Linked DNA regions of Kluyveromyces lactis. The main gene of each other region encodes a partner of the protein of the gene in region 3 in a complex. Links are inferred from orthologs where the notes say so. Each region holds a gene or a part of one and is shown on either strand. Other genes may lie near its edges.

Region 1 (3,813 bases), on a different chromosome or scaffold from region 3:
AAATAAAGTCAAACCAAAACAAAAGAAGAAGCTGTAAGGTACACTTATGCAGATAGGCATTATGTGAAACTGCTCTTTGTGGTCTTTCCAGGGCCTTGTATATCATAGATAACTCATCTTCTTCCTCGTCTTATTCACCTACATAAACAGTATACCAATTACATATTACCCGGATTTGTCGATGTATCAAAATTTTTTCAGCTTTAGTATAATGATTAGTTGGATTAAAATCTTGGAAGCGTTAACAAGAACGATGAGAACAACGAGTTGACGTTATATTACCCTTTGGAGAGGATACAATCAATTTTCAACTATTTCACGTAAAAACTTCAAAGACTTGTGTCTCTGAATAACCTGAGATTTTTTCCAATTTCGCTACTTAGAGGCTAATAGGGTCGGCAAGATGTTTCCAAGAATATTCACCAGGCAGTTCCAGATAACGTCCTTCCGTCTAGCGGAAGAAACGGGTACTAAGTTGACTAAAGAGCAACTTAGAAAGAGGGAGCTAAGAAAAATGGTTCAAAGAAGATTGCAAGCAAAAACTCCGGCCAGTGACCATCCACTGTATATGCCAGTTTCTAGAGCACTAAGATACTTACGTGCAATCGAAGTCGGGCAACCAGCAAGCCAACAAACCATCACGTTAACTACATTGGTGGTAGCAGAAAGAGGTGTCCCCCCTCTTACAGGTAATGTTTCCTTCGGCAAACCTCTTAAAGATGTGAAAGTTGCTGTCTTCACTAATGACGAGGCACAAGCGGCTTTGATGAAAGATAAATACAGTGTTCATTTAGTCGGCGGTTCAGATTTAGTAAGTCAAATCAAGGCTGGTGAAGTCAGTATCGACTTTGACAAGGCTTTTGCAACTCCAGATATTGTTCCACAACTTGCTTCTCAAGTTGGTAGAATTTTGGGTCCTCGTGGTTTACTGCCAACTGCCAAGAAGGGAACCGTCGCCGAAGATCTTGAGCCATTGATTAAAGATAGTATGAGCTCTGTTCCATTCAGACAACGTGGTAACAGTATTAGTTTAGGTGTTGCCAAGACCCATTTCACTGACAAGGAAGTTCTAGAGAACTTGTTGGCAACACAGAAGGCTTTCAAACAATCTATCACCAATCAACAAACGAAAAAACCAAGCATATTGTCCCAAACTACGCTGACAAGTACACACGGTCCTGGTATTGTGATTGACTTTGCTTAATAAAGCAACCCAATTTTTATGAACAATAACTGGAATTGTTGTCCTTGTCAAGATAGAATGAAACTTACTTCAGAAATAATGCCCATGTACATAGAAATCGTTAATAGAAAAAAGATTCCTTCTGCAATTGATAACTATAAACCTATCCGATAGAATCATCTTAATGTCATGCCAGCTTTCTGATGGCAAAGCTAAAATCAAAACTGTTCCGTTTTCTTAAAATACATAATGACGATGTGGATATATATACAGGAGATTCAGCCATTCTTTATAATCAGGCGCTTCCATAACGTTCCTGGTTTGATTGGAAAGTTGAACAGAACTAATAAGTCAAATACCATCTGCCTTTATTCTTTCTTCTTTTAAGTATCTGTTGTCCACTTCTAGATCTTGCCCTTGCTAGGAACCCCACTCTTCTCTTTCTCTTTAAAGTACTCGGTTGGAAAGTGTTACCTCTACTTTTCCATCTTCTCTGAGTCAAATCGAACAACATACCAAATATTGATGAGCCATTTGCTTGTGTTTGAGATTGTAAAGTGATTTCCATTGGATTGACTTGCGCCAAAGGTCTATGAAGACGTGAGTCTAGTGTTCTTAAAGGTGAGAAACTAGAGAAACTGGTTAATGTACGTTTTGAGGTCCACTGAAGAAGATTTCTTGTTATAAAACTCATAACGACTGGATGAGATTTTATTTTAATTGTTCTTCACTTCGAATTAAATCCTTATCGATAACTAATGAGTAGTTCGGGCGACTACTTTTAGGAGACTTCGTCTTCAAGAAATATGTCCTGGTTTCTCTTCGTTTGATTTCTTTGAATTCAAATTTTTTCTTTCTCGAGACTAATGTAAATGTATGAAAATATCGATGGATGTTGGAAATAGTGAAAGCATCTGTGGAAGCGAACAAACTTGGCTTCTAGCAAACCGCTGAAACTTCAAATCGGTCTTAGACTAGTCTGTTACAATAAGTGTATTGGCGGTTTCATTTCCTGGCTAACATTATTATTAAAGTGTTTTCTATTTACATTGAGCTAAAATGGTAGCTGTAGGTAAATTATATATCACGTGATGTGTGTTCATAAGTCAATTATGTTCTTCCTCAAGGGCAGCAGCTAAGTTCTCGCTCAAATTTTCCTTCGACAGGACAAATCCGCCTCTAGCAAGTTCACTTATTTCGAACTTCCCATCTTTGAAAAGGTAAGATCTGCTGGCAACATTTTTATACAATCTTTTCGTTCGCCTATTGAGATCTGGGTCGTTAACTATTGACGTTAATATAGACTCTGCATCTGAAGTCAGCACCGGATTTTGCGAGTAGAGCAGGTCACTAATTAGCTTGACCTTTTTCTTAAACAAGTTATCGATCCTGATGTCGGCTATATCGAAACCATCAGGTTTCATTCCGATCTCAACGATTGGTGCCTGGAGTTTTTTTGTAGCGCATAGTTTCGGATTTGTCTTCAAGAAATAGTAATGCTCGAAAATTTGCCGTAGTGTCTCCTTTATCTTTTCTGCAGGGAGTCTTAATACTTCTGTAATTTGAGTTGATTGAAGACCGTCAATTCCTGTGATATCTTTTATAAGTTCCTCATTCGGAGTCTGCCAGTTTTTCGGCCGCAGCCACTTATGACGATTGAAGCTCAAGAAATCCAAAGCATCCTTATTGTTACGAGACCATAAAATCGTTTGAGATGTTAGATTTGGGTCATCCATTTCTAAAATCGAGTGCTGCATTTCATAGGGCCAAAATTTTGCCAACTCATTAGGGTATTGTCTCAATATGTCTACGTGTTTAGGAGGATCGTTCAACAAATGGAAATGAACAGAATAGACTAATTTCTCCAAGGTCTTGCGTGTTGGATTCTCATTGAAAGAGTTTAACCGATGTAGCGTTTCATGTTGCTTATTCTTGGGGAAAGTGTCCACCTTCGAAATGGCGTCTTTAGTTATTGAATGAAGACCCTTGTATAATTTCGAAGTTCTCAGAAGACTAGCCTTCATCGTCAACCTCCAAAACTGTTGTCAAAAAAATACGCACAATACTTCACAGTATGTCCATTCGATTATGACCTATTTTAAACAGTAATAACCTTCGTCTTTAGATTAATACAGAACCTCTTCCGAGCCTGTTCTCTGTATGAAGATCGTCATGTGTGTGCTCTAGGCTAGAAAATTTTCGTACCTACTTACTATTCCATATTGCAATTTGGAAAGCCAGACACGAAACGAAACCAGGAAGAACAGCGACACAAACTCACATTTTGTAGTAGGCACTGCTACTGCTCCTTGTTGACGTGGGCATAGTCTCAAAGCATCGCGACATTCCGGATTCTTTTGGAGTATTTTCATGAGTACTAAGCAATGAAGATGTATCCAGTATCACCGTAACATCCATACACCACATATACTCAGTTTGATTCACCAAATTCGATCAAAAACAACAACACAAATATACAAACATAACAAAAACTGTCTCAAAATTTACAAACAGTAAGAGCTCAAGGTCGTTCAAAGCCGAGCAATCAACGGTAAGATATTCCAATTTTGTCTGTTAAGCTAGCGTGAAGTCAGACTAGAAGAGATATTGGCTATATACAGATTCAAATA
Region 2 (4,116 bases), on a different chromosome or scaffold from region 3:
GGAGCTTCCAGACGAGGAAAACGTTTGGGATAGTGTTTTTGAGGAAAGGCAGTTGAGCGAAGTAGTACGGGATCAAGGACCAAATGATCTCGAACGACCAGCAGCGCATAAAGAACCAATTGCTACCGAACAACCACTGGGGAATAAGCTTGAGAATCAGAAAGATGATGATGATGACGAATATATTAGAAAAGTTCGTACAGCTGTAGAACAATTCGAAAAGGCAGGCTTCTTCGAGGATTTAGACGATACTAAAAAGGGTTCAAAAACAAAAGCCATGGTATATAAGCTAGCAGACGAGGTGATAGCCCGACATAAAGACAAACTCTTACGCATAAGAGACCCAAATTATGATAAGTGGTCTGAACCATTAAAAACCCCCATGATAGATAAATATCATGAAATCAAAGAAGAATGGAGACGTGAGGAAACGAACCACGGTTCCAGTAGTTTAAACAACAGTTCAATGACTACACAGAATGTTACATTTGCATGGAGTTCAAATGCTCATCGACCGGAGCTGACCGCACCAAAGAAGCCTTTGGAACCGCATTCCAATAAGAAATCAACAAATGAAATACTACGGAGTAAAGCAATGAAAAGCGCTCATGAATTAAGAAGTAAGCAAATTCTGCTCAATAAACTGCGGGATAAAAATGATAGAAACAATCTGCCTTCACAGGATGGTGATGATGTCAAGCCGAAATTTAAAATGGATCCCTTGGAACCATTTGTCGCCAAAGCTTTACCGAGAGAGAAGAAGAAGCGACCAAAGGAGAAAAGGAAGAGCAAATTTTGGTTTTGGGGATCCCTTACCCATCATACTGACGAAGGAAACCACAGAGACAAAGCTAGGTCGCCAGAGCTTGAAGATTATAAAATTGGTGTTGTATCACCGAATTCGCGGTCCCCCACGTTATCGATTCCTTTCTCTGATCCCGATAACACTCAGACTATTACCAATAACGCAGTATCGGACAACATTAACCATCACCTGTCGCTAATAGACCTCGACGATGACGAGGAACACTTAAAGTGTTCAACGCCACCGTTAATACTGTGATACGTACTTTTTTTAGGCCTAATATATTTATTTCTCATCCTATTTAAATATCATCTACATTAGCACTGTAACTATATACCTTTTTTTGAGCCGGCGTTATTATAACTTGTTCTCTGCGTACCGGGGTAGCCACGATTGCCTCTGGTATGTGGTTGGTGCTCATATGACCCACTTGATTGCAATTTTCTGCTTGCTCCTCTCGTAGTGCCTTGTCTTCCTTAAGAACATCTGTATACGTTGGAGGATCCTCTGGCAAGGAACTTTTCTTCTCATCAGGATATTGCTTCTGATCGTCTTGAGACATCTTTCCGTAAGTTTGAGTTTAACTGTTTACGACTCCGAATGTTGGTCCAAGGGAAATCTCAACTCTTCGAACAGCGTCGGTTCTGATTGCCATTAAAATATATTGTCGTTTCTATACATTATAAATGGTTCAAACAGGGTCCTTGATGTGCAGATTTCCCTTTAAAACCTTACAAATGGCGTAATGCTATATCATCATATATCAGATGTAAAGATGAAAAGAAGGAAAATATGATATCTAAGGTATTCCAGGCTTTGTTAGATTCAATTTTTCATTATGTGAGGTGGCATAGCAGGTAATCAAGACAAGTCGGAAGTTAATCACCTACCAGCTAGTCGAAGGGCAGCTACTCCCTGTGTACTTGAACCTTTTTAGGTCACGTGCAAAAGAGTTTAGCAGTCAAAATAATCAACAGTTCCGGGTAACAGACATTTGTTTGTTCAACATCAGTAACTTTGAAAAATTTTGAAGATTCGATGAGGTTTCAGTGAGTTTATTGTTAGCTTTGACAATAAATTGAATGACGATTAAATACGGGTTGATTTTCTGCGATAAGTTCGTGTGATAGCATACAGCTTCTCAGCCAACCGAAAGGATCATTAATACTCCATCCACTATGCTAGCGAGTGCAGCATCTCGTAAGAATGCCTTGAAGGTAGTGCAACCCTCTTTGAACTTTGTTCGTGGGAAAAGAACTAAATCGAAAGGTGGATTAAATCCTCAAGCGCAAAGAATCATTACACAACTCTCTGTTATGTCTGCTAGCAGGAAACAGCCAAAACTTTTAAAACTTTCCCGTGAAGATTTGATCAAACATGATATGATTCAAGCTTGTTGGGCGCAATATCAAAGGGAACTGAGGGAAAAGAGAACAAATCTCTTGAAACTACAGTACGAGAATATAGAAGAAGCTATGAACTTATTAGAACAGGTAGATCCCGAACTATATGAAATGGCTAACGCTGAAGAATCAGGTAAGAGGGTCCCATTGGAACTAAGGGTACCTACTCAATACCCACCGAACAATGTGTGGTATTATGATTACAAGAAAAAGGATTGAATAGTTCGTTTCCAGGCATAATGCATTAAAGGTAGAGCACGAATCATATTTCACATTATCTCTTCTAGGACACTTTTTTATCGGTACACCAAACGTGGGTTGCTCGAGAAACAACTTGTGTGATCTACAGGCAAGACCAAGTGCCACGCAATAAAATATAATGGAGATGTTGCATTATATATTGTAATGAAAGAGTTAGATAGAAGAAATGTAAACAAACCATGTAAATAAGCAATTCTACGAAATGATTATCGGCAGAATGAAGCTCTTAAGCTTTTCAAAGGGGACTTTAACCGTATTCCAAAGTGACAGTGTACTTCAGAAAAAAACATGGCTTCTGTGTATACATCGGTTCGAATATGAATAATGGTCTTGTTTACAAATAGCATTATTCATTTGACTTAGATGATTTTAGCTTGAATGGGTACATGGTTAGCAAAATGGCATCACCATACATATTTTCTCCAGAATGATTTGCCTGCGGTGTTTTCAACGTTTGGAAGTAGCAGCCACGACAAAATCATTAGTTGAAACAACCCAAGAACAATAGGGAAGAGAACCCATGTACCTGTGCGATCAGAAATAAGCCCAACTACTAATGGAACTACAGCACCACCGGAAGAACCCATTGAAGTCATGATCAATAACGACTGTGATAATATTTTCCTTGGTAGAATCTTGGGATGCGACACTAGAGCAATCATTAAGGGATAGATTGGGCCTATAAACAATCCAGATATTGTTGTACAAACCGCAGAAACATAGAAGTTTGGTATTAACCACGCCAAAAGCAACAATACTGAAATGTTTAACGTTAGTAGGAAAATGGAACGACGACCACCTAATTTCTTGTATAATAATGTGGTCAAGCAGAATCTCCCTAGAGTTAATCCACCCCAATAACCAGATGCTATATAACCTGTGCTGTTTGCATTACCATGACGTTCCTCTAAAAGGAAGGTAACCATCCAGCCACCAAGTGAAACTTCCCCACCTTGATAAAAGAACACGAAAGCGCACAGTAACCAAGTTCTATAATCTCTGATAGATTCCAAGAATTCCGAAGTTTTCTTGTAACTGCCACCTTTCTGATTTTGAAGCTGTAATTGTTCCATTTCCATCCTATGCAAGTCAGCTTTCTCATATTCAGCCAAGTCCTTAGAAGTATTCTTGTAAGACCAAAAGATGTTGAAGAAATTGAAGATAGATAACCCTAGTAAGATAAAGTAGTATTGATTCCATTTATATCCCACGTTAAGCATAGACTGAGCAAGCAAGGGTGCAATCAGGGCACCAACGCCATAAAATCCATGCATTAAAGCCAAACATGTACTAGCGTTCGTGAAACTGGCCAAAAATACGTTGAATTGAGTTAATCCAAGAGCTAAACCCATACCGTTGAAGTAAAATGCAACACAAATTACTGGAAACACGGTACCCGAAGAGATCAAAGCATACGCCACGATTTGGAAAGCCACTCCAAGCGAATTTAAGAAAGTTTTTGGAACAACTTTAACTATTAATGGCGTGGATAAAGCGATGACAACGTATCCAACAGCACAACTCATCCAGATCATAGATACAATAGAGTAAGATATGTCATAAAATTCCTCCATTTTGGGAAGCAATGCACCTGGGGCAGCATCTGACATTCCTGAAGTAAAAGTCCAAATACAACAAGCAATAATT
Region 3 (4,506 bases):
TCCACTGCTTACCTTACTACTTAATGTCAAATATGTACATAAAAATGTGTATACAGTGTCTCATTACAGTTTCTTGATAATAGCATTCAAAATAGCATACTTCGAATCAGATTTATCCATATTGGATAATAGATGTTGGGTCAAATAACCAGAATATAATGTAGTAAGTTGTTTGGCATTCGTCTCATCTAATTTGCTGATGTATGCAGAATACTTTTTGAAGGACAATTGGAGACTGTCGATGTTTAATTCGCCGGCAGGCATGAATTTGATATTTAATGTAACATCATGCAATAATAATTCCACATATTTTTCTGGCATACTTTTCTCAAGGGAAATATTATAATGTTCGTCCTTTAGCCATTGCAATACGTGATTTATCAGATATTCTCTTTTTAAATCTTGAAATTCCGAAAATAAGTTGATATACTCGAGGCATCTATCAAACAGGTAGGACATAACGTTTCTGCTGAGCTCTTCATCGACTTGCGAATTGGTAACGGCGTAGTATCCTTGATGTTTCTTGACAAAAGATGTGCCCAGATTCTTCATTGCGATATCGAATATAACCAATGCGACATCACCACGTAGTGCTGGATTAGTTTCTTCTGATCCAAGCATATTCATATCGGCTTCTGGTAACTCGTTTAGTTTATCTTTCATCTTGTCACCAGTACTTGGAAGTTGAATTCCGTCTTTGTCAAAGTATGCTTCGTCATCTGCAGTTTCTTCCAGACCTGTTACATTACTGGAGTTTCTTCCTTCCTCTTGCTGTTGTAGCATATCTAGCTCTTGTTCCCTTTCGTTGATTAAATTCATCACTTTTCTTCTATTTAACAATTTTGTCACGAAATTCAGTTCGAATTTAACGTACTCGTACCAGAGTTTAGAAGCATCTGGATTAAATCTAAGACCAGTTTGAAAAACATTTCTACAGCTCTTGAAGTTTGCGTGCAATTCGTATTCATATTTAGCACATGATATCCAAACGTCAACGTTTGTTGGATGTAATTTGAGCAATTGATTGTAGACGTTTTGAATCTTTTTATAAGAGGCATTTGTACCCTTTGATTTTAAATGATTCAAATATAAAGACCAAAATTTCAATTTTTTTGGGAACTTATTGCAGCCTCTTTGGAAAATATAGAGAATCCTCTGCTGTATGGTAAAATCCGAAATACTATTTGATTTGTTCGATTGCAAGATACGTTTAACACGTTTCATTCTTAATGCATCGACATTCTTCTCGTATTCAATATATCTGATGTAATCACTTATACTTGAACCTCTCGAACTCAATCTGTGTTCAAAATCAGTCCTTTTCTTCATAATTTTGTTTACTTCATTCTTAGTGAATAACTTCTTCTGCACTAAGTCATCAACTTCTGGAATACATTGTTCCAAGTAATATCTTGTTCTGGATGACATCGCCTTACTCTGGGTAGTTTTATGTTAAGTATTGATTAAAGTGTAATCACGGAGACTCGTATCGCTCGCTTACTGACAAAGGAAACGACTACTGGCTTTGTTCATGCTAAATAATACTGAGATGAGATGAGATGAGCCTTGAAGCTTTTGAATTTTTTTGGTTATATTGATTTCTTTTTCATATAATCAGTCAGAATAAAGTCCTCCATTTAAATAACCATCGATGAATAACAAAAGGACAAGTACAATTGTTGTTCTGCTAGCGTAAATCGGATTTTTTTTTACTGCAAATTGAATCCGCTTACATATGACATTCGGGACTACCATAAACTGCGACCCTTAATGTCGTTGTATGCTTTCATACAAGATGACAGTTTTGTTGATCGTTAATTCGGGCAATTTAACATTACCCGGATATTTTACATGGTAGACAAATTTTCGATAATCAAAAATCTGAATATGAAATAGGTTGAATACTAAAGATGATTGATTTGTTTGCGGTGATCAGACATAGGAGTGTCCAATTGATCCCCTTTGTATCGAGACATTAAGTCAGTGTATCAGAATCAGCCATGTTTTCCAAGAGACAAGGTTTGAATTTGTGCAAAAACGTATGTCAAACCCATTTTCATCACTGTTGCAATGGTAAAGCGCGGGCTTTCCTCAAACTGCATGATGATATCCTTCCGCATTAAGCAGTTATATCACCTACTTTTAGAAGATCGATTTACTAACTATTGCTCGTAATTTTTTGTTACTCTTTTCCCTATTCTCTACAGGTCCGTTACGTTTCCAACAAACCCCTTCCTAATGCTAGTCTACCGCCAAAATATACCTTAGCAACGGTTCGTTCATTCCCATCATTAGAACCATTGACATTTGCACCAGTGCCAACCTCAGTATTTGATGCTCCATTGAGAAGAGACTTACTATGGCGTGCTGTTGTTTACGAAAATGACAGTAAACGTGTTGGGTCTTCTAACCCCCCAGGCAGAAGTGATGTTGGTTATTCGAGAAGAAAGATTTTACCACAAAAGGGATCTGGTATGGCCAGAGCTGGTGACGCTAATTCACCAATAAGGCATAACGGTGGTAGAGCTCTAGCAAGAACTGCACCAAATGATTATACCACAGCGCTCCCAAAGAAAGTGTACTCTTTAGCATTCAATAACGCACTAAGTCATCAATACAGAAACGGTAACGTCTTCGTCATCGGAAGTGGTGACGGAATCTCCGAAACAAGCCAGGCTGATCTAAATGAATTGGAAATTCTTCCCATCGGGGAGGGCTCAGAAGATGGCGATATCGTGTTCGAAAAATTCCTAAAGCACTATGAGCTACAGAACAAGAAGCTATTATTCGTTATTAACGAACCAAGGCCAGGATTATTTTCATTTACAGAAAGATTCCAAGATAAAGTTAACATCGTCCAAAAAGAATTTGTTGATGTCAACGATCTACTTAAGGCTCACAGAATCTTTATTGAATTGGAAGCTTTAGAATACCTGGCTGTTACTCACGTTGTTTGATTATGGAACGAGATACTGATCATCAGACGGGAGTTAAAATAAAAGCTTCGAATAATAAACTCCACATTGCACCAACTCATCCACAACTTGTATATATATGTATGTGTGTATATTAACGTCACAAATAAAATGAAAATAGCTACACGGCTGTTTATCTAAGTTAGCGACATCCGTATTTGTAAAGACAATTGACCAATGCTGTGGCCATCATCAAGCTGTAAAATCCAAATCGAGGACAAACAGACGCAACCATTTCGGACTGTTGTCGGAAGCCTTATACACCCGTGCATTTTATTATTTTCAATGCGCCTATAACCGAATAATAGTTTAATTTTTCCTTTCCTTCAAGTTTCCTGATTAGGAAACCCATCCAACGTTTTTCAGACTTTGGGCTGAGTTTTCTCCGTGCCTAAGGAAAGACAGGGCATTAGGTGTGCCGACGCCTCGGTTCTTTCCAGTTTCTCCTCCCCGACAGAATTTCCATCCCCCTGATTCTGCTTCTCCTACCGACACCTTCTGCTCCTAGGCTGGGAACATGCACCACTAGACCGATCTTGCTCAGTGACAGAGTATGCTGGGCCTCTGTCCAGTTCTGGTTTGTGCGGTTGTGAGACAATCGTTCTATAGTGGTTTTACCGAATGGCAAGTTTGTATGGAGGGAAACCTTTGAACCTTTGCAAAATCATAGTGTTCAATTAGTGAAAAGCTACTTAACAATGATATATTAGTGTTATTATATTTAAATAACGGATACTTTATTATTAGGTAGTCGTTTTCGAAACAGAACGAGTAAGAAGCAAAGATGTCTCTAGTTGTTCAAGAACAAGGTTCCTTCCAACACATTTTGCGGTATGTTTTAAGATGAGAAACGTTTTAAGAGGATTACAACGAGGAAATTGAAATGAGATATGTTCAAGGGCAATGAATACGAGTATTATCAAGACAACACTACCGTGGTTATAAAGAGTTCCGAGGAGATGAAAGGTATTAGACAGCTTTATGAAAACATGCATTGCGCGTTACATTCGGTATATCATTTAGTGATGATGTTATACTATTAAAGTGAAGAAAATGAGAAGGAATACCACCAGATAGATGGTCCCACAATTTTTCCAAAGATCAAATCGAATTGAAAAGCTTACGCCCGTTAGTAGACAATATGCAGAATGTTGAACTCAAAAATGGATCTCCTTTCTGACATTTTACGTTAGGTCATCCAAAGTTTTATGTTGATTTAGGCATCGAAAACAATCAAAGTACCAAACTGCATAATCGAAGCAAGGAGAAGCATTTTGTGTTTATGGGTTTTCCTCCGTTGTCGCCCTCAGATTGACTATCATCAAATTTTACTAACATTTTTATTCCCATTATTTTTACAGTTTGTTGAACACCAACGTTGATGGTAACATCAATGTTGTCTACGCTTTGACTACCATCAGAGGTGTCGGTCGTAGATACGCCAACTTGGTTTGTAAGAAGGCTGATGTTGATTTACACAAGAGAGCTGGTGAATTGACCCAAGAAGAATTGGAAAGAATTGTCCAAATCA
Region 4 (3,877 bases), on a different chromosome or scaffold from region 3:
CAAATTCCTATAGCAAGACCGAGCTCATCATCGTTATTTTCTGCATCGTCTCTGAGAACTCCACCTGCCCAAATTGAAATATCAGAACATGACCTAGATAGAATTATGAGATCTATTCCATCGGATTTCATCAATATGCCATTTTCCCAACGTAAGAAGATCATACAGGATTTAAGTCCCAACCATGACTATAAGACTATTATGAACATTTTGAAACGTGAGAAATTAAGCCACAGTGGCTCAACACATAACGTGAGATCCAGACATGGATCAGTTGCATCGAAATACTTGAACTCTTTTACCCCCGGTTCTAGTTCTTTCAAGAGGGACGATAAAGGGTCTTTCATTTTGGGTCATAGACTTGGCAAAATAATAGGGTTCGGCGCTTGGGGTATGATCAGGGAATGTTTCCCTTCTACAGATGAATCTCAAAACCAGAATAATACTTGTTGCAAGGCGATGAAGATTATCAAGTTCAAGGACAATCGAAGTGTAAAGAGGCAAGTACTACGTGAAATCTCAATATGGTCGAAACTTTCCCACAATAATATTCTTCCTTTAACAAAATGGAAATTAGACGATGATCTGGTGGCATATTGTTTAACAGATAAGATCGATCATGGAACCTTATACGATTTAGTTGTTTCTTGGGGCGAATGTGGTAATTCAAAGATTAGTTTAAGAGAAAGGTGTCAAGCTACATCCGCCTTAGCGTTACAATTAATTGATGCTGTACAATATATGCATTCTAAATTCATTGCACATGGAGATATAAAGTTGGAAAATTGCCTTCTAGAAAAAAAGTCTGAGAACTACAAAGATTGGAAGCTTGTATTATGCGATTTTGGCATGAGTCACTTTTATGGCCATTTCAAAGATCAGATGGAAAATGAATCAATTCAACTGAAATCCCTATTTGATGGGTCTACTCTTCACTTGAAACGAAGACCCTCAATTCCAAGATCTTCCTCTTCAACGAATAATTCTTCTTTACGGTTGAAATCAAGGTTAAGACAAATAGTGAACGATAAAAAATTAATTCATGATGATACGACTTTGGGTATTCACTCCGTACCAAAGAGCACTCGTTCTAACCTAACCAGCTCGTTGAACCAAAAAACAGACATTACATTAACACCTAACAAAGATTTGCATGAACATATCAACGATGACATGAGCAGAATTGGCTCTTTACCATACGCTGCTCCGGAGTTACTAGAACCCAACCCTCCTCCCATTGGACCAAGCGCTGATATATGGGCCATTGGTGTTTTAATTTTCACCATGCTTACCGGCAAATTACCTTTTAAACATGAATACGAGCCCAGACTTCGTGCAATAATAACTTCAGGTAAATATGATAAAACGACACTACGCCAAGTTTGTAACTGTGATATGAACTCGAACTTGGGTGTAGATGACCAGGTGGAATTCCAAGGTCTATTCAACGCAGTGAAGGGCTGCTTAACGAAAGACTTAACCCGGAGATGGGAACTTGATATGGTGAAAGTAGCTCTGGGTAAGCATTGAAACTAATCCTAAACTAACAAAATATTTTCTACTATTCTGTCCTTGTCAGTTATAACCCTTAATTTTTAATTCAACAAGCATACCAATAGCATTAATAGTAACGCATACTGTTACATTGACCTTTTTTCTGATGTTTTACCATTCTCAACAGCATAATACTTAATAATTTTACTGAAGTATATAACGATAACTAATGAAAACACCAGCTGTCTTAACAATGACGGCGTTGTAAGCACTTTATTTGTATGTAGTAAGCGTTGATAATGGCGTTGATTAGCCAATAATAAATCAATCACGTGATATACATCAATTATGGGTTAAGAAAAAATTTGATGAAACCAGACATAGAAAGCTTTAATCCTTTCTCTAACGATAGTCCAGGAAGAAAAGCTGTGCTTTCCCGATCAGTAGCAGCCTGCAGCACACGACCTAACTGAAGTTCACACTGTGACTGTTATAACATGATTTATTTGAAGTCTTTTTTGAAAGTCATTGACAACTCAGGTGCTCAAATTGCCGAATGTATCAAAGTACTTGGAAAAGGTTCGCCAAAATCTCCAGGTAGAATAGGTGACAAAATCGTCTGTGTGGTGAAGAAGGCTAAACCATTAACACAAACTATTACTGGGCAATCCAATAACAACAGAGTGAAGAAAGGTGATATTGTACACGCTGTGGTGGTACGTACCAAGCAAAGAAATATGATACGTCCTGATGGATCAACAATTGCGTTCGGTGACAATGCTTGTGTATTAATCAACAAGAATAATGGTGAACCTCTAGGGTCAAGAATTATGGGTAACGATGGTGTTGTCGGCAGAGAACTAAGGGAAAAGGGCTACAACAAGATTTGCTCTCTAGCAAGTAAAGTTTTGTAAATATGTTTCACCACTGGTAAATATCGATTACGACTGCGCAGGGCTTTTAGAATCATGTATATAGATAATAAAAAATAGAAAATATCGTTAGTAAAGTTTATGAAAATGCCATGATAAATATGATGGATACGCGACTACCAACTTATTGCTCATTGACAGTGATATCAATATTTTATAAGTGTTTCAAAGAGATGTATGTTTATCTTAAATATAGATAAAAATGATGCGAAAGAAACTAATCTAAATCTGCCAAAGTAGCAAGGCCTTCAGCTATGAAACAAATTTTGGTGTTACACCGGCCTTGGTGGATATGTAACGCAGCATTTTGTCCTCTTCATCCACGAACTTTTTAGCAATGAATCCACCGTTATCCTTTTATTCGGATCAACTTGGAAGATATGATAAAGTGCAGCAGTTCTGTACCGGTTCATACCTGGAGACACATGTTTCATTTCGTCAAATACATAATATTGTCCATGTTTTTCCATATCCTCGAGGAATGCGTCATATACTGAATCCTTGCCTTTGATAGCAATTTTCCATAAATAATGGCCTAAAACCATAACACAGTAGATAATACCACAGCTCCAGCAATCAACTAGTCTTGGATCGTATTGTTGTTTTGGAATAAACTCCTCAGGCGCAACATAAGGCTCAGATCCTGCTGGTCCGGTTTGGAAATGTGCTTTCTTTTCCCAGGCTGTTTGGAACACAGAACTTGTACCAAAATCACATATTTTTAATACACCTGTAGGGAGAAATAGCAAGTTTTCTGGTTTAATATCACAATGAGCTACACCGTGAGCATGCATGTATTGAATACCATGTAGTAGTTGTTTCATGAAGCAATCTGCTTCTAATGGATGTAAAACTGAATCAGATTTTGAGCTTCTTGTAATCAAGCTGTATAGATCACCTGAAGGGCAAAATTCCATTACTTCATAAAATGCGTTAGGTGTTTGCATTAAATCAATAACGTTTAAAATGTTAGGATGTGTTCTTGCCGAAGATCTTCTGCTTTTGTTACCACCACTCAACGATAATCCTATCACAAATTCTGAGGTTAGTCTTGTGCTAAACTTCTTTGGAGGCTCATCAGGTCTTGGCTTCAGTTCTTTTACCGCATAGAATAACTTGTTATCATGGAAATATGTATTATCTTTCAGATCAGGTTCATCTGGGTCAATAAATTTATAGCATAGTTTTACAACCCCATAGGCACCTTGTCCAATGATACCGATCGACTTCCCGTATTTCTCACATAAATGCTGCTTTCGTGGAGCAGAAGAAGGTTCATTGGAGGAAACTGCATCAGACTTAGAGCCCTTCAAACAAAATCCGTTATCGATCTTTTCGGTTAATTGGTTTATCAGTTTCAATTCGTTAGCACCAATGACGGATTTTTCGTTAACAATCTTTGGTACATTGGCTGATTTATTTGGTCCCTTATAACCATCTTCATCAGATTC
Region 5 (4,133 bases), about 500 kb from region 3:
TAAAGGCTGGGCCTTATTTAGAACTCTTTCTAGTGAGAGTATAAGAGATATATCACTGTTTTGACTCTGTGCCAACTTTCTCTTTTTTTCCAATCTGAACCGCTATATCTTGCATGAGGCAAGACCTGCAAAGAGAAGAAAGATGAGACCTTTTGACAACGAATCCAAGGGATTTCTTTCTGGCCGAACAGATCAAATTGAATTACCTGTGGTACAGGCTGTTTCAACAAGTTCAAATTCTCAAGAACCACTTCTTTCTAGCAAAGACCCACTACGAGATGGAAGCAACGTGGGGAATAGGTTGAGTGGAAACAGCGAAACTCTGATAACCAACTCTGATGCTGATCATCCTATGGAGACGGATAATAATAACTCTAATCTTAATAATACTAATTCCTCTACTAATACTAATGATAACAAAGATTCGTCATCCAATTCCAGCAATAATGAAAATGGGGACAGTAGCAACAATTCAAATAGAAGGCATAGCAACCATTGTCACAAGCATAACCATCTAAGCAGCACTTCTACCCTCAAGGCAAGAGTTACTTCTGGAAAATATGCATTATATGATTTTCAGATTCTGAGAACTTTGGGTACAGGTTCGTTTGGTAGAGTTCATTTGGTGAGATCCAATCACAACGGCAGGTTCTATGCAATGAAAGTTTTGAAAAAAAACACCGTTGTCAAATTGAAACAAGTGGAGCATACCAACGATGAAAGAAATATGCTAAGTATAGTATCCCATCCTTTCATAATTAGAATGTGGGGAACTTTCCAGGACTCACAGCAATTGTTTATGATCATGGATTACATCGAAGGTGGTGAACTATTCTCTCTTTTAAGGAAGTCTCAAAGGTTCCCAAACCCGGTCGCGAAGTTTTATGCAGCAGAAGTTTGTCTTGCGTTGGAATACCTACATTCTAAAGGCATCATTTACAGAGATTTGAAACCAGAAAATATCCTTTTAGATAAGAACGGACATATCAAGTTAACTGATTTCGGGTTCGCTAAATATGTTCCTGATGTCACTTACACTCTCTGTGGAACACCGGACTATATCGCACCTGAAGTGGTAAGCACAAAACCTTACAACAAATCTGTGGATTGGTGGAGTTTTGGTGTTTTAATCTACGAAATGTTAGCAGGATATACACCTTTCTACGATTCAAACACAATTAAGACCTATGAGAATATTCTAAATGCTCCAGTAAGATTCCCACCATTTTTCCATTCTGATGCTCAAGATCTAATATCGAAACTCATCACAAGAGACTTAAGTCAACGGCTAGGTAATTTACAAAATGGAAGTGAGGACGTAAAGAATCATCCGTGGTTCAGCGAGGTTGTGTGGGAAAAACTACTCTGCAAAAACATTGAAACTCCATATGAACCTCCTATTCAGGCCGGACAAGGCGATACCTCTCAATACGATAGGTATCCAGAGGAAGAGGTTAATTATGGCATTCAAGGCGAAGATCCGTACCATAGTATTTTCACCAACTTTTAGCAGGCATACTTGCTCATGAAATTCAGATATCAACATGCCTCTTATCTTGCATCTACACAATATGTAAACTTTAACACGCCTTTCCCCCCGTTAGTCCCTTTTCTTTTTTTTTTTGTTTTGATATATCGGCTCATTGCCTTCAGAAACGCTGCCGTTATTTGATACATTCCTTTGAATGACCATCGTACAATACTAGATGGATTGATGTACGCACTTCCAATTCAAAATTCGTTTCATTCGTTTTGCTGTACTCTCCAATGGATGCTCGATGCAATAATCTTATTTTTGGAGTATTTATCTATCTATAATCAATGGCATTTACATATTTTGAATGCATGTATAAGACTTCATCACAAGTCCTTCCCTCACGATCCATGCTACATAAATTGTAAACTGGGGTAAGTCATGGCACATTCATTTATGTTTTGGACGTAACTTGCTTCTGTCGAATGATTTCACGTGACCAATGAATTTTTTTCCAAACTATTGAAAATTCAAAAAGTTCAGTGGACATGTCCAGTTGAAATGAGAATGATTTTACGAAATAGATGATTGAAGTGATATTGCTGAAAGTGAAGGGTCCTGGTTGCTCTACTTTATCGTCAAGGTTTATTTTACCGATTGGATACTTATACTCATTGTCACTCTAGAGAAGATCATTAATAAATAATGTCAGGAATCGTTAAACAACAAAAATTTTTGAACAAGATCAGTGCGACTACCGTGAAACCTCAAATTATATTAGATGTATCGAAGTACAGTGCATTGAATGTGAAGTTCCAGTATCAGAATTTCAATGGCCATATGGGTGCCCGTAAGTTCTGGCACGAGTTTTTGCCTTCTCTGCAGTTTTACAACCCTGCGTTGCCAATCAATGTGACCAGAATTAGAAACGATGATAAAAAAGTCGATGTACCATGCATACTAGAAGCTATTGGATCCGATGGGAAGGTTGTAGCTGAAGTTTCAATGAAGCACAAACACTCATCTGAAATTATGGATGAAGTGCTACAGAAATTGGAACACAAAAGAGTACCCCAGGAAGAAATAATAAAGGTATGAGCTCCGACCTTTGACAAAGAAAAACAAACAAACTGGAATACCTAAATATACTACTTTCAAAGTTAGGTCCTGTACATATGTATATAATAAGATACTTTTCATCCGATTTGATGTCTTATTCAAATGACATATCCTTTTGAGATGAGTTGACTCTCTGCCCAAGGATCGTCAAGACATTCAAGAACACGCGAGAAGAAGATTTAAAACGCCAGTATATGGTTACCAGGTGGTTATTTAACTTGAATTTCAGAACGCCTCTTACATCTAATTGTCATTAAGACATCTTACATTAACAGCGACTTCTTCATCTGCGGAAATGGTTTTCTGCGTATTGTTCAGTTGAAATTTTTCAATCTCGAAAATGATAAATCGCTTCAGATCTCATCATCTCATCTCATCTCATCGGTTGACCACAGAAATTATCAACACCCCAAAGAGGCATATAGTAGGGGCATTATTCACAGGTGAAGACTCTCAACCCAACAACACGAATGTCTAATACAGACTCCAGTGATACAGATGATATTCTAACATTTGTACTGGAATCCAAGGGGTTTTTCCACACTGCCGGCTGTGAGATTAGAAGATCTGATTATGGTGGTTTAGGAGTGTTTGCATTAAAGGATTTGAAGGAGGACACTGTACTCCTTAGGATTCCGAAATCTTCTGTTTTCACTGCAGAAAATAGTAGCATTGCCAATCTACTGGTTGATAGCGAGGTAAAAGGCATGTTGGCATTAAACATTGCATATATTTATGAAGTATTCATATTTCAAGTTGAAAGCCATTGGTACAAATATTTGAAGAGCATTTCACACAGACAAAATGGGAGTCTATATCTTCCACCGGCATACTGGGAAGATAATGAGAAAATTTTGCTGAAGAATACTGCATTGGATGTTGTATTCGAGGCGTTGTCTCCACAAGAAGAGATAGAAAATGGTTTCAAAGTTGGTATTGCATTATCCCGTAAGTGGAACGAAGAATTTGGGCTGAAAATACCGTATTTGTTCGACTTCAATTTAGAAGATCAGAAGCAAGTCTCTTCGAATTTTAAAGAATTTGCTGCTATAGCATTCGCCATATCGTCAAGAGTATTTGAGATCGACAACTATCATGATTCTGGATTAGTTGCCATAGCAGACCTTTTTAACCATCACGCAACGAGGCCCGACGTAAGGTTTGAGAGCATGTATGATGTGTGCGATATGTGTGGGGAATTAGGGGATTGCAAGCATGTGATTGCTGAGACGAAGGCATTGGATATGGAGATGGAACAGAGAACTCAAAGAATAACACCAAGGGAAACCGGGACAATAAGCTTGTCAGTTATTGAAGAGTTAGAAAGAGAATTAGACCCTTCAGATTCAGAATCTGTGGAGGAAACTGTTTCTGATGAGAATGCAGAAGAAACTCCTGAGGCAATAATGCCCAAGAACATTGATACTGATGAATGTGTAGATATCATTCTTTCAAACGATGTCAAAGCGGGAGAAGAAATATTCAACTCGTATGGTGACCATTCCAACTCGTACCTATTAGCCAGGTACGGATTTTGCAT
Region 6 (4,016 bases), on a different chromosome or scaffold from region 3:
CCGTGAATTGGGCGTATTGAACGATTTGCAAGACGCTTTGTCTGACGATAATCCAATGGTTGTTGCCAACGCGCTTGCCGCACTGCACGAAATTAACGAATTGGACCCTGGTTCAATAGATATCAAGAAATTAGTATCTCAAAACGTTAAGAGGTTTTTGAACGTGTTGAACGAATGTACAGAATGGGCAAGAATCACTATTTTGGAGTCATTGAGCGAACACAAACCAATTGACCCTATGGAGTCTCAAGAAATTATCGATAGAGTTGTTCCACATTTGCAACACGTAAATCCATCAGTGGTCTTGATCAGTGTTAAATGTATACTCATACATCTACCAAATTTGAACACAGTCCATGACTCTATATACAACAAGTTATCAACTGCATTGGTCTCACTAATGTCGACCCCAGTGGAGATCCAATATGTTGCTTTGAGAAATATAAGAATTATTTTGGATGCCTTCCCAAACTTGTTAAGGAAAGAGTTAAGAATATTCTATGTCAAATTTAATGATCCATTGTACGTGAAGATAGAGAAATTAGACATCTTGCTCAGATTAGTGCCCGTGGATAATTTGAAACATTGCCAGATGCTTTTCAACGAATTAAAAGAATATGCAAAGGACTTTGATCATGAATTCGTGACCAAAGCTATCCAATCCATCTCACAATTGGCCATTAAAGTCTCGAACGGAGGTGAAGATACGAATAACAAGTTTTTGAATATGGTCATGGAAGAATTCGTTTCGATTGTCCAGGAGAGAGAAGAGTTTAGGGATATATTGATGAGATGCGTATGCGACATGTTACGTTATGACAGTGACAACAATCTTATCAAGGAAACAAGTAAGAATGAGTTGGGTGCCATAATTTCCTCATGGCAAGATATCGATACCATATTTACATCTGATCTAGGCAGTTGTAACTACATCTGGTTTATCACCAACTATACAAACGAAAATTTGGAAACTAAGCTTGAACCACTGGTAGAAGTTTTCGATGAATTAGGATCCCTAACTCAAATGTCCCTTCTAATGGGTGTAGTGAAATGCCATAATGCAGTCTCAAGTGCTTTCTTACAGAAGATCTTGGAACTTTGTACGACAGACGTCCACGATTTGGACGTTAGAGACATGGCCATGATGTACTGGCGGTGTCTATCGATCGACAACGGTGATCAAATCATCAACCAATTATTTGACAAGCATGAAATTCCTAAATTGCATTCTACCTTGGACCACTTCTCCAAGGAAACATTACAAAGTCTACTTCAAGAGCTCTCCACTCTATCCTCTGTGTATTTCAAACCAATCTCGCAGATGCAACGCCGTCCCAACGAAGTTCACATCATTAAGGATAAGGATATTGATGAATTAAAGGGAATGGCCACGAACGAGATCCTGAAAAACATGAACGATGATGTACTACTTGACATGGGTGATAGCTCTGCCACGAGAAGTACAGGCGTCCTGGACGAACTAAATGATCTTTTCGATATCACTGGTGATATGGGGAAAGTAAACATTTCACAGAAAACCAATAATAACAACAACAACACCTCGAATTCCCATGCAACCGATCTTCTAGACTTAATGTAAACTAGTTTACTCTTTTGAACACCTGTACAAACTATAATTATAATGGGAAACAATGAAGCAGATAAACTTCAATCATGGATGTGCCTTTCTAAAATGTTAATTTATTATGGTGCAGTATCTACTACTATATACAAGTAACCCCAGTGGCATGTCATGTCATGTCATATCATGTCAACTTTATTCCTTTTGTTTCTTGAGAAGATCCTCAAGTCTCTCAATCTTACGTTCCACTATCAAGTCACGTTGACGATCCAGATTAGAATCCTTCTGGTATGATAATATACATTTGCGCATAGCGTCACGAGGTTCGTTACACGCTGGGAAAAGCTTCAATCCATGAATCTTTGAACATTCGACCATGGCCTCCACGTATTCTACACATTGTGCATATGCAAATTTCTTCAAATTCTGACGAGCTTCTTTCTCCTCGGTAGGGTTCAATACCCAAATTGGTAATCTTTGATTATGCTTTCCAACGCCCTCTGACATTTCTAAATGAATAATCTATCTTTGTGGTGCAGTATTCCAGTACTATAAGAACTTCTGACCTATGGTTATGGACACAGCAGCAGCTACAAATGACAATACGCTGGCTGTTCCCCAAAATCGTTTAAATCAGTTGACATTGTTCATTTGCATAATGTTGAGATTTAAAGCTTTTTCATGGATACTTTGAAAAATTTCGAAGGTTTAAAAGATTTAATACCATGAATTACGGTGGGAAATTGGTAAAAGCCAGCCAGTAGCACCGTTATACAAACTGTTTAAGCAGCTCGTTAGGTTCTGTCATACCCGGGTCAATTGAATATCTTTGTTTCATAGAGAAATGTTCGGTGCATTCAGAGCTACACAACCTGCATTAGGTGGATTATTATGGAAAGTCCCATGGCGTATGTCTGGTCCTCAAAAAGCAAGACAAAGAGACCGTTTGAGAAGCGTTGATGATGTTCTTTCAACTCTTAAGTTAGGTCTTCATCTTGAAAGAAACCATATGGCGGTTTCTGAGGGATCTCAGCTGAATCTACGTAAGATTAAACCTCGTGTGAAGAGCTTACGTATTTTAGACAAGGCTCAGTATTTCCCAAAGGAACCGGAGATGTCTGCTACTGATAAGTACAGTGTATTCAACAGGTACTCGAAGGGATATAGAAAGGGTATACATAAAGTTCCCAAATGGACCAAGCTTTCCATCAGAAGAAACCCACGTCATTTCTGATTTGGATGAATCATCATTAAAAACTTCTATTATTACATAGTAAGTAGCCCCTGTACATAGTGAATAAAATCAAGGTATCATAGTTCATCCCAGATGTTGTGAGATGATGATGATGATGATAATGGACGGGCTTCATTCCTTAGATCGAGCAATTGGTCATTATATAGTGCTACGTCAAGGGAATGGAACAACTTCAACTTTAGCACACGTATCTTGTCATCTTTACCGATCGGTTCCTCATCAATCGTGTGGGCAGCATCAGTATCGTCATTGAGTAATTGTTTCTGTGTTTCTACGACCTTTTGAATACCCTCTTGTATCGTATCTCGAAGCTGGTTAATTTCCTGTACCAGTTTATCTATGTCTTGTTGCAATTTCGGTATGTTTAATTCGTCCTCTACGCGTTTCACTTGGCTTGTTTGCTCCTGAAAATTCTTTTTAAGTGCCTGCACTTTAGTTTGCTGTCTTTGCAGCTGTGATTGCAATTGTTTCATGAGCTCATTGTGGTGTGTTTGTTTCTCAGCCATCAATTTCGTGAGCTGTCTCATATTACTCTTGATCTCTTTAATATTAGAGACATCGCTTTCAATGATGAAATTGGACCGGGTTTGCTGTAAAAGCTCTACTGGATCATTGAGCCGTGACATTGGGTGCTGCAATATCCACTGTTGCTCAGTACTGTGCAGTACTGTTTCATATATCACATCTATTTATGATTCAATTCGATGAGATTGTCAATTGTGTTCACTTAAATCAAAACATTGAATCTTTAAAATTGCATCCACTAATAGCAGAGAACCTTTAAAACAGAAGTACCAAAGGATATTGCTCAAGATCTTTACTCGGAAGGTCATCCACGTTACTGATATTTACCATGGACAACAAACAGCGCCAATATGCGAGACTAGCAGCACATTTGAAACAACTTCGTGAGAATCTCGATGAGACAACGGCTCAAGTGGAAATCATGGCAAACCAAAGCAATATGATAACGAAACTGGGAGCCGTCCAAGCCAGCACTTTCATCGGCAGTAACCGTGTATTCGAAGATGAAATGTTAAAGAAATGAGGTATGAGATACATGCCTACGATAAATATCGGTTTGTAACACTATATGTATATATGAACGTATACCTAATATCTATGGATCATGAGAAAATGAGAAAATGAGATCAAAGGAAAACCCCCGCTTCTTCTCTA
Region 7 (4,865 bases), on a different chromosome or scaffold from region 3:
GGTTGTAATATCTTGTATAGACTGTAACTAGCATGATAGGAATATTACCAGCATACTTAAAAGCATTGAACAATTGTGAACCATCTTTCTTCTGAGACCTTCCTCTTGTAAATTCTCTTAACGATTGAATCATTCTGACCAATGAGGGCAAGACTCCAACAAGTACGTCAATGTTTAACGATATAGCATTTTCATATCTTTCCACTTGACACTTGACGTTTGTTGGATCATGGAAAAGGAAAGTGGCATAAATAGCTAAATCCACCAATGGCTTAGAGTACGAGGTCAAAGTATCACTAATTATAATATAGTTATTCCTATACGGCTTTGGTTCAATGTCAGCTACCCAAAGTATTCTTTTAAAGCACCTTGCGACCATTGCTGATGACCTTAATATCATTGCAAATATGTAAAACAACTCCAGTAGTGGTGAAACATTCAAAAAAAACCAAAGCAATTTGTTGGATACGTTATTAGTGAAGGAGTATTGGAATAAGATTATACATACCAATTGCCACGGTATAATGACTCTAGAGATTGACTTGAACAGTTTCAGGCTTGATTGGTGTATTTTCGTGGATGTGTTAAAGTAAGGTAGTCCCGTGGACTCATTGGATACAATTACTTTGGACACGTCGTAGTAGGATACTGATACCTTCAGGAACCATGTCCATAGCCATAACCCTAATAACACAAGGACAACAACTCTCTGTGGGATCGGTAGGTAAACCAGAAAGGGTTCAACAGATTCGGCGTCCATGAATGCACGTATAAATAAGGAATCAAAAAAATGTAACAAAAAAAGGAGGAATAGAAGCAGAAGAAATCCCTTTCAGAAAGGCCCTGTGTGTATCGCTAACGGTTTAGATTTGTGGTTCACTGTCTCAGAGCTCTGTATAATCTAGGATCCTACGTTTTTAGTCCTAAGATAACACTTTTATTTCTATTGACATCTTTTCAAGACGTGTTTACAATTCAGATACCGGCACCAAAAATAAAAAAACACACACTACCGAAAAGCACAAGTTACAAGTACAAGAATGGAACAGCTAATGCTATATATAAACGTATTCAGGACTGTTAGAGATAACAAAAAGCGTGTTTCTAATCCTTTAAAATTTTGAATTTTATTCATGATTAGCATGGAAACTTTTAGTTCATCATTAATAGGTCTATATATTTAAGATAGAGAATGCCGAGTAATCCACTGACACATCTAACGTACACTTCGACTACCCGAATATATCCGGAAATGAAGAAAGTCAAACAAACAAGAAGATATAACTTGTACTGTATTGCCTGGACAGTTTATTTTAATAAAGTAATCGATTGATCAGAATTTTCAGTGTTTGGCTAATGCTAGTCGAATCGTTCATATTTTCGAAATCCGTTTGGGGCGACAGCGGTCATCATAATCGATATACTCAAAAAAAAAACAATCCAAATGATGGTATTTCCATACAGACAGTCATTATCTTCGTCGTTCCTTTTACTTGTTCATTTCCCGACATGAAGAGGAATTTGATTTCCGTTTGAGTTCAGTAAAAAAGACAGAATACGTTGCGAACAGGAACTCCTGTTCCTGATACACTACAAATCGAATCCTTGTTGGTTATGTCTCTAACTCTAATTAAAAGCTTTGTAACGGATAATAAAGTATTCGTGATGAGATAGAAACTTACCTCAAAATTTTTCACTTTTCCAGTTATTTAAACTAAAAACCATAAAACAGAAAGAATAGTCAATCTAACCATGAGAGACTGGTCTGCCATTAGGGCACAAAATAAGTACACAAAGATTTCCTGAATCACGTGACCAAATATTATATAATCCGGGTAAATTCAGAATACGTTCATAGTGATACTTCTTGCAAAAAATTCCATTTGACGATATTCCTCTGATGGTATTGAAGCTGTTTGAAATTAGAGATCGCTTGAAAGATTTTGATATTAACAAAAATGAACAATGTAATTGCAATGACTTAAACATTTTAAACTATGGATATTGATATATATAAGGGTGGATATATCTATAACAAATCTTATTAAGATCAGAGTTATTTTATTATTTCTGTGAAGGGCAGTAGCAAAGCGGAGATATTGGTATTAGACGGTTTACCCTAAGAATCTCGTTAGGTGCTCTGGATATAATATCATGTTCAAGCAATTCAACTTGAGATGCCTGACGCCGCTTGCCAGCGGCGTCTCCTCAAGAGTTCAAGTTCCGTGGAATGTTTCGATGATAATGTCTTTGAACAATACTTCACTTGGTGGAATCAGATCTATGGCCAGCATCACTCCAACCGGGAATGAAGAACAATCTTCAGTTGACGATGTCAATGTCCATATGTTGAAAATCGTTCCTAATAACACAGATGTGGTAGCACTAGAGAAGCAAGACGAATTGTTAAGAAGAAGAAGAAAGTTGGCTAAGGAAGTTACACAAATGAAGAAATTGAAACCGGTTTCTCCAGGTTTGAGATGGTACCGTGCGCCAATTTATCCATATTTGCATAAGGGAAGACCTGTTAAATCTTTGACTCTTGCCAAGAGAGGAAATGGTGGTAGAAACCATAGTGGTAAGATCACGGTGAGACATCGTGGTGGTGGTCATAAAAGAAGATTGAGAACAGTCGATTTCAGTCGTTTCGAATCTGGTATGCAAACTGTGGAAAGAATCGAATACGATCCTGGTAGAAGTGCACATATTGCATTGATAAAACATAACGATACTGGTGCCCTAAGCTACATTTTAGCATGTGATGGGCTAAGAGCTGGGGATACCATCGAATCATACAGAAAAGGTATTCCACCATCATTTTTGAAAGAAATGGGTGGGAAGATCGATCCTGCCATCTTATCTGTTAGAACAGCTCAAAGAGGTAACTGTCTACCAATCTCTATGATCCCAATCGGATCCATCGTTCATAATATTGGTATCACTCCTACAGGTCCAGGTAAGTTCTGTCGTGCTGCTGGTTCTTACGCACGTATCTTATCCAAGATCCCAGAAAAGAATAAAGCTGTTGTCCGTCTACAAAGTGGTGAGCACCGTTACGTATCATTGGAAGCTGCAGCTACCATGGGTGTTGTCTCAAATATTGACCATCAAAACCGTTCTCTAGGTAAAGCTGGTAGATCTAGATGGTTGGGTATAAGACCAACTGTCAGAGGTGTGGCAATGAACAAATGTGACCATCCTCACGGTGGTGGTAGAGGTAAATCTAAGTCCAAAAAGTTGTCCATGTCTCCATGGGGTCAATTGGCCAAGGGTTACAAGACAAGAAGGGGTAAGCATCAAAACAAAATGAAGGTTAAAGATAGACCAAGAGGTAAGGCTGGTAGAAAGGCTAGACAATGATAAGCTTCCCCACAACTGATCCTATCTTAAATATCATCAGTTTTTGTAAACTTATTTCAATGACTTCCATCCTGTAAATATCGTAGAACTAGTTAATTTAAAGAAATAACATAACATCTGTTCAGTTACCAACTCTATTTTAAACAAAGTTTAGATTACTACATCCAGAGCATCATTTGGTCTCTTCTTCCAGCTTAAATTCCCAGTTCCCAAGTTCGAATAAGGAACCAACGACTAACCTTACATGCTGGGCCATGTGATCAAATGAAAGTCTGTCTAAAGTGTCCATCGTACTGTGAATGTATTTGTTAGATTTGTTGAACTCACTTTCAATGACAAAGGAAGCGGGGAATCCATTCTTCGTTGCACTTCCGTGATCACTACATGCATATCCACATTCCGTTTCCACGTAAGGAATATCCAAGAATCTTCTTATAATCAACTTAATAAATTCAGTTAGACCTGGCGTGGTATAATCAGTAATGACACCAACATGCTCATTTTCTGGATCTTCAACATATCCGGTCATATCTTGTTGCAACATTGCGACGACTTTTTTGTTCTCCTCTGCATACCTGGTGAAGACATCCAAAGAACCTAGTAAACCACCTTCTTCTGCACTATAGAAATGGAACTCAATGGTGTTATTGGGTCTGTAACCTGTTGTAGAGAGATGTTCAACGTATAATCTCAATGCCTCTAGATTGGTTACGGTACCAGATCCATCGTCATCAGCTCCTGGCGCAGCAAGTATCGATGGCAATAAAAGGTTCATAGAGTCCTGATGCGATCCCATTACGACAATGTTCTCGGGAGTTTGTGCTCCTTTAATCGATACGATGATGGAGAATTGCTTCCAACCTTTATGCTGAACATGTTCAATGACAACGTCATTGTTCAATGGACTAGTGATGTTAGATAATTTCTCGGAGAGCCAAACAGCAGATTCGTACCCCGTGTCAGATTTGTAATAGCGAGTGTAGAAACTTGTGAATTTTGCCAAATTATCATGCATTGAAACCTTATCAACTCCCTTGGACAACGAATTTACAATTTCGTCGCATTGAGTTTCCTTCGGATAACGGTACACTGGCACAACAGCCTTTTCATCTTTGGACTTAAGTAATTTGGGAAAATTGGTAATATCCATGAATTGCACTCCTTTCCTCTTGAGAGACCATTTCTCGGTCTCTCGTACCATAATAGTCTTACCTTCCTCGATCTCAAGAACATGTAAACTATCAAATGGCAAAGCTGCCACAGAAGCTGCCAACAAGAACCACCCAAACTTCATAACTAGCCAATCTGATATTTGCTACGGAGTTGAAGCAAAGTATACACCGGTAGATGCTTGTACTGTCCCTTTTAATACAGTATTTATCCACTTGTTTCTGAAGGGAAAAAGGGTTTTTTTGACATCTAAGTAGAACTAACGTTGTTTAGAAGTTTAGTGTACATATTATGGAAAATGATATTCATTGATATACAATAATGGAGAAAGGGAG

Evidence for each region.
Region 1: YML6 (region 3) and MRX14 share a complex: the UniProt entries of both Saccharomyces cerevisiae proteins name them as parts of the mitochondrial large ribosomal subunit. The link is inferred for Kluyveromyces lactis from reciprocal best matches to the Saccharomyces cerevisiae genes YML6 and MRX14.
Region 2: YML6 (region 3) and MRPL28 share a complex: the UniProt entries of both Saccharomyces cerevisiae proteins name them as parts of the mitochondrial large ribosomal subunit. The link is inferred for Kluyveromyces lactis from reciprocal best matches to the Saccharomyces cerevisiae genes YML6 and MRPL28.
Region 4: YML6 (region 3) and MRPL38 share a complex: the UniProt entries of both Saccharomyces cerevisiae proteins name them as parts of the mitochondrial large ribosomal subunit. The link is inferred for Kluyveromyces lactis from reciprocal best matches to the Saccharomyces cerevisiae genes YML6 and MRPL38.
Region 5: YML6 (region 3) and MRP49 share a complex: the UniProt entries of both Saccharomyces cerevisiae proteins name them as parts of the mitochondrial large ribosomal subunit. The link is inferred for Kluyveromyces lactis from reciprocal best matches to the Saccharomyces cerevisiae genes YML6 and MRP49.
Region 6: YML6 (region 3) and MRPL31 share a complex: the UniProt entries of both Saccharomyces cerevisiae proteins name them as parts of the mitochondrial large ribosomal subunit. The link is inferred for Kluyveromyces lactis from reciprocal best matches to the Saccharomyces cerevisiae genes YML6 and MRPL31.
Region 7: YML6 (region 3) and RML2 share a complex: the UniProt entries of both Saccharomyces cerevisiae proteins name them as parts of the mitochondrial large ribosomal subunit. The link is inferred for Kluyveromyces lactis from reciprocal best matches to the Saccharomyces cerevisiae genes YML6 and RML2.

Annotation. Positions count from the first base shown.
Region 1 is NC_006042.1:1,780,888-1,784,700, reverse strand, and holds MRX14 (mitochondrial 54S ribosomal protein bL34m), read right to left. Parts: upstream 1,878-3,813; coding exon 1,527-1,877; downstream 1-1,526. Other genes in the region: TMA64 (Tma64p), read left to right, coding at 1-37; MRPL1 (mitochondrial 54S ribosomal protein uL1m), read left to right, coding at 404-1,204; GEP5 (Gep5p), read right to left, coding at 2,290-3,207. UniProt on the Saccharomyces cerevisiae protein: Component of the mitochondrial ribosome (mitoribosome), a dedicated translation machinery responsible for the synthesis of mitochondrial genome-encoded proteins, including at least some of the essential transmembrane subunits of the mitochondrial respiratory chain.
Region 2 is NC_006039.1:1,299,214-1,303,329, forward strand, and holds MRPL28 (mitochondrial 54S ribosomal protein mL40), read left to right. Parts: upstream 1-1,983; coding exon 1,984-2,427; downstream 2,428-4,116. Other genes in the region: LFT1 (Lft1p), read left to right, coding at 1-1,063; KLLA0_C14916g (uncharacterized protein), read right to left, coding at 1,107-1,367; KLLA0_C14949g (MFS transporter), read right to left, coding at 2,874-4,116. UniProt on the Saccharomyces cerevisiae protein: Component of the mitochondrial ribosome (mitoribosome), a dedicated translation machinery responsible for the synthesis of mitochondrial genome-encoded proteins, including at least some of the essential transmembrane subunits of the mitochondrial respiratory chain.
Region 3 is NC_006038.1:119,864-124,369, forward strand, and holds YML6 (mitochondrial 54S ribosomal protein uL4m), read left to right. Parts: upstream 1-2,000; coding exon 2,001-2,039; intron 2,040-2,207; coding exon 2,208-2,957; downstream 2,958-4,506. Other genes in the region: snoRNA-binding rRNA-processing protein UTP6, read right to left, coding at 64-1,428; RPS18A (40S ribosomal protein uS13), read left to right, coding at 3,760-3,806, 4,337-4,506. UniProt on the Saccharomyces cerevisiae protein: Component of the mitochondrial ribosome (mitoribosome), a dedicated translation machinery responsible for the synthesis of mitochondrial genome-encoded proteins, including at least some of the essential transmembrane subunits of the mitochondrial respiratory chain.
Region 4 is NC_006037.1:612,988-616,864, forward strand, and holds MRPL38 (mitochondrial 54S ribosomal protein uL14m), read left to right. Parts: upstream 1-1,991; coding exon 1,992-2,408; downstream 2,409-3,877. Other genes in the region: protein kinase NNK1, read left to right, coding at 1-1,530; putative serine/threonine protein kinase KKQ8, read right to left, coding at 2,699-3,877. UniProt on the Saccharomyces cerevisiae protein: Component of the mitochondrial ribosome (mitoribosome), a dedicated translation machinery responsible for the synthesis of mitochondrial genome-encoded proteins, including at least some of the essential transmembrane subunits of the mitochondrial respiratory chain.
Region 5 is NC_006038.1:621,983-626,115, reverse strand, and holds MRP49 (mitochondrial 54S ribosomal protein mL61), read left to right. Parts: upstream 1-2,179; coding exon 2,180-2,572; downstream 2,573-4,133. Other genes in the region: KLLA0_B07205g (cAMP-dependent protein kinase), read left to right, coding at 143-1,510; RKM3 (protein-lysine N-methyltransferase), read left to right, coding at 3,064-4,133. UniProt on the Saccharomyces cerevisiae protein: Component of the mitochondrial ribosome (mitoribosome), a dedicated translation machinery responsible for the synthesis of mitochondrial genome-encoded proteins, including at least some of the essential transmembrane subunits of the mitochondrial respiratory chain.
Region 6 is NC_006041.1:1,081,610-1,085,625, reverse strand, and holds MRPL31 (mitochondrial 54S ribosomal protein mL60), read left to right. Parts: upstream 1-2,426; coding exon 2,427-2,816; downstream 2,817-4,016. Other genes in the region: APL2 (Apl2p), read left to right, coding at 1-1,600; CMC1 (Cmc1p), read right to left, coding at 1,778-2,089; kinetochore-associated Ndc80 complex subunit SPC24, read right to left, coding at 2,894-3,463; HSK3 (Hsk3p), read left to right, coding at 3,691-3,885; cyclin-dependent serine/threonine protein kinase CTK1, read right to left, coding at 4,014-4,016. UniProt on the Saccharomyces cerevisiae protein: Component of the mitochondrial ribosome (mitoribosome), a dedicated translation machinery responsible for the synthesis of mitochondrial genome-encoded proteins, including at least some of the essential transmembrane subunits of the mitochondrial respiratory chain.
Region 7 is NC_006037.1:182,115-186,979, reverse strand, and holds RML2 (mitochondrial 54S ribosomal protein uL2m), read left to right. Parts: upstream 1-2,154; coding exon 2,155-3,360; downstream 3,361-4,865. Other genes in the region: ERD1 (Erd1p), read right to left, coding at 1-760; KLLA0_A02013g (putative aminopeptidase), read right to left, coding at 3,533-4,654. UniProt on the Saccharomyces cerevisiae protein: Component of the mitochondrial ribosome (mitoribosome), a dedicated translation machinery responsible for the synthesis of mitochondrial genome-encoded proteins, including at least some of the essential transmembrane subunits of the mitochondrial respiratory chain.